Linked DNA regions of Caenorhabditis elegans. The protein of the gene in region 1 interacts with the protein of each later gene in a pairwise test. Each region holds a gene or a part of one and is shown on either strand. Other genes may lie near its edges. The genes, in order: gakh-1 and F45D3.2.

What was found.
Region 2: the proteins of gakh-1 (region 1) and F45D3.2 interact in a two-hybrid assay, tested with the Caenorhabditis elegans proteins (one large-scale study listed by BioGRID).

Annotation. Positions count from the first base shown.
Region 1 is NC_003284.9:5,781,860-5,787,232, reverse strand, and holds gakh-1 (Protein kinase domain-containing protein), read right to left. Parts: upstream 3,829-5,373; coding exon 3,687-3,828; intron 3,639-3,686; coding exon 3,411-3,638; intron 3,081-3,410; coding exon 2,925-3,080; intron 2,883-2,924; coding exon 2,788-2,882; intron 2,742-2,787; coding exon 2,513-2,741; intron 2,452-2,512; coding exon 2,086-2,451; intron 2,037-2,085; coding exon 1,785-2,036; intron 1,480-1,784; coding exon 1,375-1,479; intron 1,223-1,374; coding exon 1,083-1,222; 3' UTR 778-1,082; downstream 1-777. Other genes in the region: F46G11.6 (ZP domain-containing protein), read right to left, coding at 21-161, 217-389, 537-705.
Region 2 is NC_003283.11:12,538,905-12,543,620, forward strand, and holds F45D3.2 (Homeobox domain-containing protein), read left to right. Parts: upstream 1-2,134; 5' UTR 2,135-2,173; coding exon 2,174-2,263; intron 2,264-2,315; coding exon 2,316-2,886; intron 2,887-2,939; coding exon 2,940-3,076; coding exon of another isoform or gene 3,077-3,084; intron 3,085-3,371; coding exon 3,372-3,563; 3' UTR 3,564-4,073; downstream 4,074-4,716.

The DNA.
Region 1 (5,373 bases):
AAATGAACATGAAACTTCATCTATTGACATTTTCTGCGAGTACACTGCCCATGTTCAATTGGAACCACAGTTGTTACACAGAACAAGACAACGGCGGCAGACGACGCACGGAACCGAATTGGGAAGGGATTGAAGATTCCCGCCTCAAAGTGGTTTGGATACTGAAAATAGACATTTTGTAGATATTGTTCTCCAAATTTCCTAAATTCTTGATACCTGAACATTTTTGAACAGTGACTCTTCAAGGCTACATCCCATATCATCAATAATAGGGTATGGCTGGAAACCTGGCTCATCCGAGCTCAATGTGCAATTTACAACTTGGAGGCAATTTCCAGTTATTGGCTTACACTTTATTTTATAGTAAATCTCGTCGTCAAGAGATGCTCCTGAAATTTTTGAACTTTTTGAAACAATAACAGAGGCTGTTTGACAGACATTGTATATGTTTGTAGTTTTTTACAAACTTCTTTTTTTTTTAAATTCAAATTTGTTATTTTCTGAAACTTTTTTCAAACACCAGAACTAAAGCATACCTGAAACAACTTGTCCATAAGGTCCCTTTTTGTGAATCGAAAAGTCGCACGTTATACTATTATCAACAGTTTTCGACAACAAGTTCGGTTTTTGTTTTGACTTATAGATGGATAGCGTGGGCGCTAGAACGCTAAGAAAAAGTATGAATACGAGAAGTTGGTTGGACATTTGTATGCTGGATCGATTCATTCCATTCTGGAGATACCCCGATACAAGTAGGTCATTGCGTTCGGAACAATGTGTTCTTCTTGATTTATTACTTTTCGTAGACGATAAAACATTTGAATTTTTTGATGTACAAGTTAAGAAGTAAGCATAATTTAGGATACATTTTATTTACAGAGAAACAAAAAAATGAAGGAATGAGGATGGATTTTTTTCTGAAAGATTTATAAAATGAGTATTGAAGAGAAGAAGATACTCGTTATAAGTACATTTCCATCTTTCAATTATTGGCAAAATTCGTACAAAACATTCACAGGACGGGAAAGAAAGTGAAAATATGATAAATAACTATAATTTTTGAACTACTTTACTATTTTAATCTATTTCTTGGTTGACATTTTCATCATATCGCTGACCATATCATCCAGGCTGGCAGAAGAGGATGACGAACCAATTCCGTTTTTTGAAACATCGACTTTGGTCAAGTTCTTGTTCTCCACTTGGCGTATTGGTTGTAAAACTGAAAAAGGAAAAAGGAAATGAGATTTGAAAAGAGGATATCATTTGGTTTGGGCTGATTCCTTTGATGAATCATTTAGTGATTCATGAAGAGGAGGTTGTAACAAAATGAATACATAGCAAATGATAACTGCGTAGAGGAACAAACCGTACCAGCTTGAGAAGATTCGGCGGAAGGTGTCGTGTGTCGGAGCATCAGGTCGTCAAAGTCAAACAAGTCTCGTGAAGATTGGGATCGTACCTCTGGTTTGTGCTCAGCTGAAGACAAATTATTTTTAACATAGGGAAATATATTGGAAATTATTCGTAGCTGCTCAAAAACATATAATGTTGTCAGACACTTGCAAAATTTTCACAGAAAAGCTTTCAATATATTCAGAATGTTTGGGAGAAAGTTTCCAAGTTTTGACAGGAAGTAGCCTTATTGCCTTCATCTAAGCACCGTACAAATCATCAAAAATTTTAATCTGGTTTGAAGGTCCCCTTTTAAATGACATAGGATTCGTTTGGAATTCAATTGCTGTTCAATTGCTTTCCGCAGTTTTCAGTGTCCTAAATCTTACCAGTTCCTGGCCAATTCTGTAAGGATAACAGATCTTCGCTATGTTTTGCAGACAAATTGTGTGATGCTGACTCGCTAAACGGATCGAATACGTCTTTTTTCGAAACATTCACCGCTGGCGGTGCTTGACTAAAGTCTCCCCAATCGTTTGCAGAATCATTCTGAGAACTATCAGTCGGCCATGAAACTTTGAATGTTGCAACTGGGGCTGCACGAGGGCTTGCTGTTGTGGGTGGTCTCGGTGGTGCGTTTTCTGAAAATATACTGGCATTAGAGAAGTTTCAATCAATTCATTCACTCACTCTCTTGCTGTTGATTTGATCTATGTGTTTTTGGCACAAGCTTCGGAGATGTTGAAGGGTGCCCGGGGCGTGGTGTAGTATTTGTTGGCTCCATTCCCCATCCCATTTTATTCGTCTGCTGTACAACTGTATTTTTGAGTGATGTCAAATTGGAAAATAGTTTGTCCTGCATTGTAAAGAATCCTTTTGCAGCTTGCGATTCGATACTTTGCTCCGCTTGTACCGGTTGAACATTCATCAGATCGAGTATATCCGTGAAATCAGTTTTTGCAGCTAGTTTTGGTTGTTTCTGCATTGCTAGTTTCATGTATTCCTCAATTTTTGCAGCAGTAATTCGTTCATCCGGATTGGGTGTCAGACACTTTGCTGTAAGTTGGGTTTATATTTCTTTATTTATTATTTTTACGCCCAGCAGAAAACTCCTTACCAATTAAATCTGCAAACGCTGATAACTGGTTTTGCTGAACCGGTGGTGGCTTCTTGTACTTTCCGTTGATAATTGCCAGCGCTGATCCATCAAATGGATGCTCTCCAAACGCAACAAAATAGATCAAACACCCCATTGCCCAGTTGTCTTGTTGTTTTCCGATAGGCCAATTTGAGTAGACATCACAAACTTCTGGGGATCGGGTGATAGGTGTTGTGTATTTGAACATCTGAAAATTAGATTTCAATTTCATTTAAAATTTATTTCGGAATGACCTCTTCCTGAACCGCTAATCTTTCGGAATTTGATAGTGGTGCCATCTCGATGGACTTTGTTGTAGCACTTCCAAAATCGCATAGTTTTAGTTTTCCTGAAAAATAGTTTTAGCTAAAATCAGCAACGAAAGACCAACCATTTCCGTTTATAAGCAAATTTTCTGCTTTGATATCTCGGTGGATGGCGCCGACGGAATGCAAATATACTAGGGCTCTTGTTGTAAAGTAGATTATGCGAACGACAAAGTCAATTGAGACTTCTTTGTACTTGAGAAGCACATCCGCAATTGAAACTGAAATAAAATTTAGTTATATACATTAAATTGTATGTACATTAAAGGTGGAGTACCATAATCGGAGACTTTGCTTTTTTAGACCCAAAATGGCCCAAAACTATCCAGTTTTGTAATGAGACATTCTGAAAATTGAAAAAAAACTGACTGAAAAACATCTCAATCAACGAATCAACAAGTAATAAATTAGTAATAACAAATTACACAAAATTCGGTAGGTTTGGGCCATTTTGCGTCTTTTTTCAGACAAAATCGCCGATTTCTTTCGGTACTCCACTTTAACAATATACTTTTTGAGAGTGAGTTTGCAACAAAAAAAATTCAACCCACATTTGCAATATTCCATTGATATTTTGTACTCTTTCACGGACCGATTTGAACTTCTGCTTTCAGCTGACGCATCAAACAGTTGAATAATATTTTCGTGTTGGAGCTTCTTCATCATATCAATTTCATTATCAATATCCTTCGTCGCGGCTGCATCGTGGCTCAGCATGATCTTCACGGCGACTTGTTTTCCCTTGGTGTTGGTCGCAAGAAACACCGTTCCAAAACCGCCTGCAAAACATAAGCTCTCTTCGAAAATTGTCATTTATGGCCACTAACCTTTGGCTATTACCTTTTCCACTCGATAATTGTTTCCGTTAATGCTGAATGTCTGACCACGATCGTAGAGCTCACTCTGCTCACTGATTCCTGCGCCTCGACCGACAGATTGAATCACACCAAGAGCGCGGGCAAATGCCATCTTGGAAATTGCAGATTTATAGTAGAATGAGTGCATTAAAAATAATAAAATGTGATAGTTTTATGAGCGGTGCATCAATATGAAAAAGGAAAAAAATATATGAAAAAGTATAAGACCAGGGATAAAAATGTACAATTTACAATTTAATTCAAAGGTCTCAGGTGGTATCTATAACATAATTTTTTTCAAAATTAAGAATTGGACTTATGAAGAACATTCTTTTCTCAATTTACATATCTTGCTTCTCAAAAATTATTCTAAATTTGCAAATGATGTTTTTACACGTTTCAATCAATAAGAAATACGCTTAAGCCTTCCTATCTTTAAAGCTTCATCTGCATAGAATATAAAGTACACATTTCCATTAGCGCAAGACTAACGGCAAGAAATTCACATTATTTGTCAGGAATAGGATAGATTCCATCTCGCATCTACTGAAATGTACTCTCGTGGTCGAAAAATCCTGAGAGAAGCGGAGTATTTGGGCAGCAGCAGCGAAAGTGGGGTGTCGGTTGGCAACGGAGGATGTGTTGTTGGCAAAATTGAGCTAATTTGCTTGGAGCGAGTTTGAAGAAAGCCAATAATTTAAATGATCATTGATCAAAAATAATTGATGTTAAAAAAAAAGTAGAAACTAACACAATGTTCTTCAATTTTAAATAGAAAAGTTCATATCACATCTATTGCTTTTTTAATCGTTGCGAAAATTTTCAATGTTTTGTTGAACAAGACAATTAAAACTTTCTTTTATAAGAAAACGGGTTAAAGGTTTCATTTAATTTTTACAGCAAACTGAAAATTTTTTGCAATGACAAAAAACGATTTTTTTCAGTGCAAAACTTATTGTTTGTCAGTGCAGCATTTATTGCAAGACTGTGAATGTTAGTGTACTGATTTCTGTTTAAAAATAAATTCACGTTGTAATAAATTAGGAAAATCAATGAAAAAACGCAAATGTTGCATACAATGCGCCCTTTTTTGGTGTGGGGGAACGCACACGAAACGCGCCAAGTGGTGGCTGCTGACGCATTTGCTACCTCACAACATGTAACAACGTGGAACCAGTTGCAGCTCTCGTAAAAACAAACATCTTTTGTGATTTTTCGCTCAACCAGTTTTACCGAAAACTTTATGTAACATTACTTTTATCTTTTTTTGCGTTTTTTCTGTAGTCTTTCGATTATCTTCAACTTCTAATGTATTTTAAATCATAATTCATTCATAAAAATGGTTGAATTCAATGGCACCTACTTGGCAGGTGGTGATACTCGGGAGCGGTGATATACTCTCTTTCTCCTTCCTTTTCGAGAGTGTCATTTCTATTTTCAAACCACAACCACCACATCAGCTCGCGTGCGGCTGCGACGCGGTCTCTCTACATTTCGTGTGCCTCCTCTTCCTCCATTTGCCCCTTTCGGTTCAGTTCCCCTTCTTTTCTCGTCGCTTATGTTTTCGTTTTCATTTGTCCGGAGAAAACCTGTTTAGGAAAGAGTCGTTCACATAAACGCCCGTCACTTATGCCCGTTGACATCCAAACTCTTACTT
Region 2 (4,716 bases), on another chromosome or scaffold:
AAAATTATTCAAATTGTTTTCGCTATTCAAAACTTTAATTCACAAATGCAAACTATTCGAAATCTTATATGATTCATGTTAGACTTTCAACTTTCTTCTGATCGCAAGTACTCCATCAATTTGTCAAGACGAGAGTTGGCCTCTACTGCCAAAGATCTTATTTTTCTCGATAATCTTGAATCACTTTCCATCTCTATTCCTCTTCTTCATTAAACTTTTTATAACATGTCAAGGTTTTTATTGGATCTTTGTTTTTAGTTAGTTGTGACCCAATCACTAACGTCACCACAAGAATTCTCTTTCCAAATACAGTAGCCAAATTCCCATGAGGTTTTCACATCGACTTTGGTTCCCAGTCTCCACCAAGGAAGAGATAGAGGGTACATCAATTTGTGTAACGGGTCCTTCTTTTTCCGTCTTTTTCTTCTGAGCGTGGAGAGAAAATGTGTGTGTCGTCTATCTCTCCATCATACTCTACATGCCCTTTTGTTATTTCGCACTTCCCCGCAGCGCCAGGCCTCCTAGGCATCCCCAGACTGAAAGGTCGACCTCTCATACTTCTCCATTCCTTTTCCTTTCCTTTTTCTTCCTTATTCAAGCTTAATCTTAGTCAGATTTTCTGATAGATACTGACTCATTTTTTCTTCATAATGTAACATAACACATAACACCTGCATGTGAGATCTTGACGTGGTCAATTTGTACTTTTTGCTATTTTGTTATTGCTTCTCTAATCTGATCTGGTCTCAATCACATTTTTATCTTCCGTCTTCATGATGCCTTTTTGTGATAAGAAATGAGTTAGATAATAGAAATGAATAGCAAAAAAGCGAACTTTTAGTGATCACGATCAGAACAGTTATTGAAGAATAAAAACAAAACAAAAAGTTCATGATGTGTGTCCATGTGTCTGGTACATGTGTCTGTTTCAGTTATTCTGAGAACTACGTCAATTTCGTGCTCAAGTAAATTTTCATATTCCATAGTTAGAATATCAATCAGCTGCTATCTCTTGTATATTTGCCAACAAGTGCAGATAAATTTAATATGAACTATCTGAGCAATGCATAACCTGTGCCCAATAATGTTTTTAGTTTTACATCATTAATTTCAGCTGCTCGCATCTTATTAGTCCTTTCCATAATCTTCTTTCTTCTCCTCCTCTTTTGCACTTTTCCTAGCATTCTCAATGCCCCACCCACCCCCTTCTTCATCTTTTTTTCCTTTCCGAGAGCGTAAGTGGGCGGAGCCTTCTGTCGAGATGCCAGGACGTCAGTCACTCATTGCCATGCTACTCACGTTTTGGCTTGTCATTTTTTTGGTCACAGTTGTCAGGAAGCTTATCAAATCGTTTTACGCTTTCACGCAAAGTTCTATTCATATCAGTTCATTTTTGTAAAAGTGCATTTGAGTCACTGATTGTTTTTTAAGACATCGAATCCCTCATTTATCCGTCTAACCCTAAAATTGGCATCCGATCTTCCTTAAATCCTCATTTTGGCATCTTGAAAATTATTAGTTTAAGCAAAAAGTTCAGTTGAAGTACACTTGACTTCACCTTTTCAGTTTCCAGTTTTTGTCATGATCATCATCGTTTATATACCATGAAGGGCACCTTCATATCCTTTTTGGAACCAATTGCGCACGCCTGTCTGTCTCTAAAGCACTTCTTGTTTTTCATATGTGAGTGTGGAGAGTGAGAGTAAACCGGGAAAAAAACAACGACAAAGCTAGAAGGGAAAGTAAGAAAAAATAGAAGGAAAAGTGACAAAATAGAATAGAATAGACGTGTGTGTGTGTGTGCGTGGTCTGTGTATTGTTGAGGACACCGGTTCACCACTTTTTCCCTCGAATTCCCTGTTTGGCAGAGACTGAAGCTGAAATTTTTTGTTAGACTTCCGACATTTTTCCATCAAAACTTGATCACATTCGCTCAGAGATGAATCTCCAGTTTCAGTACACTTGCGGGCGCCGCCGCCGCCGAAATTCTGCACTTTGCCTCCAGATTCCCTTGTCCTTTTTGTTTTCGACACTGCGATTTGTCGTTTTGATTCACTAGTCTGTTCCTCCTTTTCCTATTTTTCTAATTCCTAAACGATTACAGTGACATTTGAAAAACGTTCGAATATTTTCAGGGATATCTTCTTTTCCCTTGCATTCAAAAGAATAAGAAATGGACCAACTGACTTCCCAGCTTGGAAGCGCTGAGCTTCAGGCTCTTATTGCTGCCTTGCCACATGATTTGACTCTTAACCCAGTAACTGTAAGTTTTAAATCAAATATGCAAAATATAAATCAAAATCTCATTATTTCAGAGCAAACCATCATCTGCATCAAGCAGTGATTTATCGGCATCTACTTCTACATCTTCATGTATTTTTCCTCCAATCAACGATATGACAGCACTTTCAATGCTTTCCCTAGGTGCCTATCCTGGCCTGTTCACTGGATTCCCACTTTTGTCTACTTTGCCATACTTGAATCTTCCACCACACTCAACAATCGAATCATTGGGACTTATCAACTCAGCCCTTTATCAACAACAAAAAGATGTTCAAGCTGCAATGAACTCACCAGTTAACCAATTTACTGCTGGATTAGCAGCTGATGGACGCCCAAGAGCATTTTCAAGCGCTGCCACTTTGCAACACGGAAAAGATCAAGAGAAACGACGAAAGAGAACAAGAAAGATGGAACCATCACTTCCAATTACAACAAGTACCATTACATGTTCCTCGAATTCGTCTCCCTCATCAAGCTCTATAACTACATCTGTGCTCCGAACATTAGTAGAAGATGATGATGCAGATGTGCATCCAAATAAAGTTCGACCAATTCAAGTAACAAAAGAGGAAGAGGATCTTGTTAGAAGAAAAACTCAAGAATGTAAGTCGTATATTCAAATTTTATAAATTTAAATTTACAATTCTAAATTTCAGTGCTCAAATCCATGCCCCTTCAAAAATTAGAGCCAGAAGTCAGCGCAAGTGGCCCACTTCGCCGTCTTATTCGAGACGAAGACCTTCCAGACGAGGTCGGACCAGATTCGCCATTCCGCCACTACCCAAAGTATCAGGTACACAAGTTAGTAGTTTTTCGATTCTTCCTTTTCTTAATAGTTTAAATCGAAATCTTCTCTCTATTCTTCTACTTTTTTCACATTTTAATGATATTGTCGTGCTTGACAGAACTGCATATTTTACAACCAATTTTTGTTTTAGAAAATTAATTTTAAAAACGCAGCTCTGGTGTGAAAGTAAAGTATTTGATTTTTATTTGATCTGTCATTAAGTTTAAATTGTTCAATAAAATTTCAATTTGCACACTCTTTGAAATTTGAAATACATTTTTTAAACTCTTTTTATTTTCAGCAGAAGCCCCGTTCACAACTAGTCATGCTTCAAGGAATCCAAGCGGCAGTCGCATGTATGTGCATTGAAGCTTTTCAACTCGACGATAAAACCGATGAGGAGAAAAAAGCTTTTTGTCAAAAACAACAAGGCCTTTCACTTGATGATTTGGTCAAGGAAACTGTGCGTCAGGAACTTGTAGCTGCAGAGTAGAACGTTTAGCTCTCATTATTTATACCTATCCACTTCTTTTTCGTTTTCAACCAGCTTTTACTCTAAGTTCAATTTTACTCAATATGGATAGGTTACAGTTTTCCCCGTTGAAATAGCCCCTATTTTGCTCTCAAAAACTACTCACTATTACGTCTCAAGGATCAACCGTTGCGTGTGCATTTTTCGTCTCCCCGTTCCATTTTTTGCTCTTCTCTTTTTTTTCTCTTTGACTAGAACTGTTTCTTTTGGATGGTCAAAGAGGAAAATTTAATTTTAATGTTTTTGAACAAAACTTCAATGCTTTAATATTTTATGTCCGTTTCATATTTTCCAACTTTGTATTTCCTGTTTTAAGCTTAAACCTTCATTTCCAAACGTCTCAATGTAATTCTCACAACATTGCCCAGCCTTTCAAATGATTAACATTTTTTTGTAAAAATTAAACGTTTAAATTCTAAAAATAATCAATCTGTACAAACAAATATGAATAAACATTCTGCAAATTGATAAGTTCATCCAAATGTAGTTTTCAGAAAAAAATAACACATCAAGTACCGTACTATTTTAAATCATGTGGCTTAGACTTTTGAGTTGTTTTCGACAAGTTCACGTCATTTTTCTCTCATTTCCAGTTTCCGTTTTGCACTTTCATTGATCAGTTACCCAGTTTTTAGGAAAATAAAAAAGGGCAATGGGGGATGCGGAAGTCTTTCAGCAGAATGTCACATTTTCAGAGAATGACCTTCGAAGTTTAGATGAAGACTGTAGTTGTTCAAAGCATAAACAAAATTTACAGTGAACTTACAACGTTTGCAAGTGCTTTTCAGAAATATGACTTATGAAGTACAGTTATTCCTAAGCAAACAAAAATGTGCCTGATGAAATAAGTAGCTAAACAACTCAAAAATAGAACGTGGGTGTCCGGTAAAAGCACTTTACTGTTTGAATTTGATTCAACAGCATTTTAAATAGAAGTGTGATAAGACAGCAACAATTTATAAGTTGGTAAATCAATTTTAGGCTATTTTGAATATTTAAAATAGGAAAATGTGTTAGTTTTTGAAAAAAGTGTCCCAAATAAAAAAGATTACCGAATAACAAGGTTCAAGTTCCAATGGTTCGAGACCAATTTGACATTAAAATAAAAACGGGA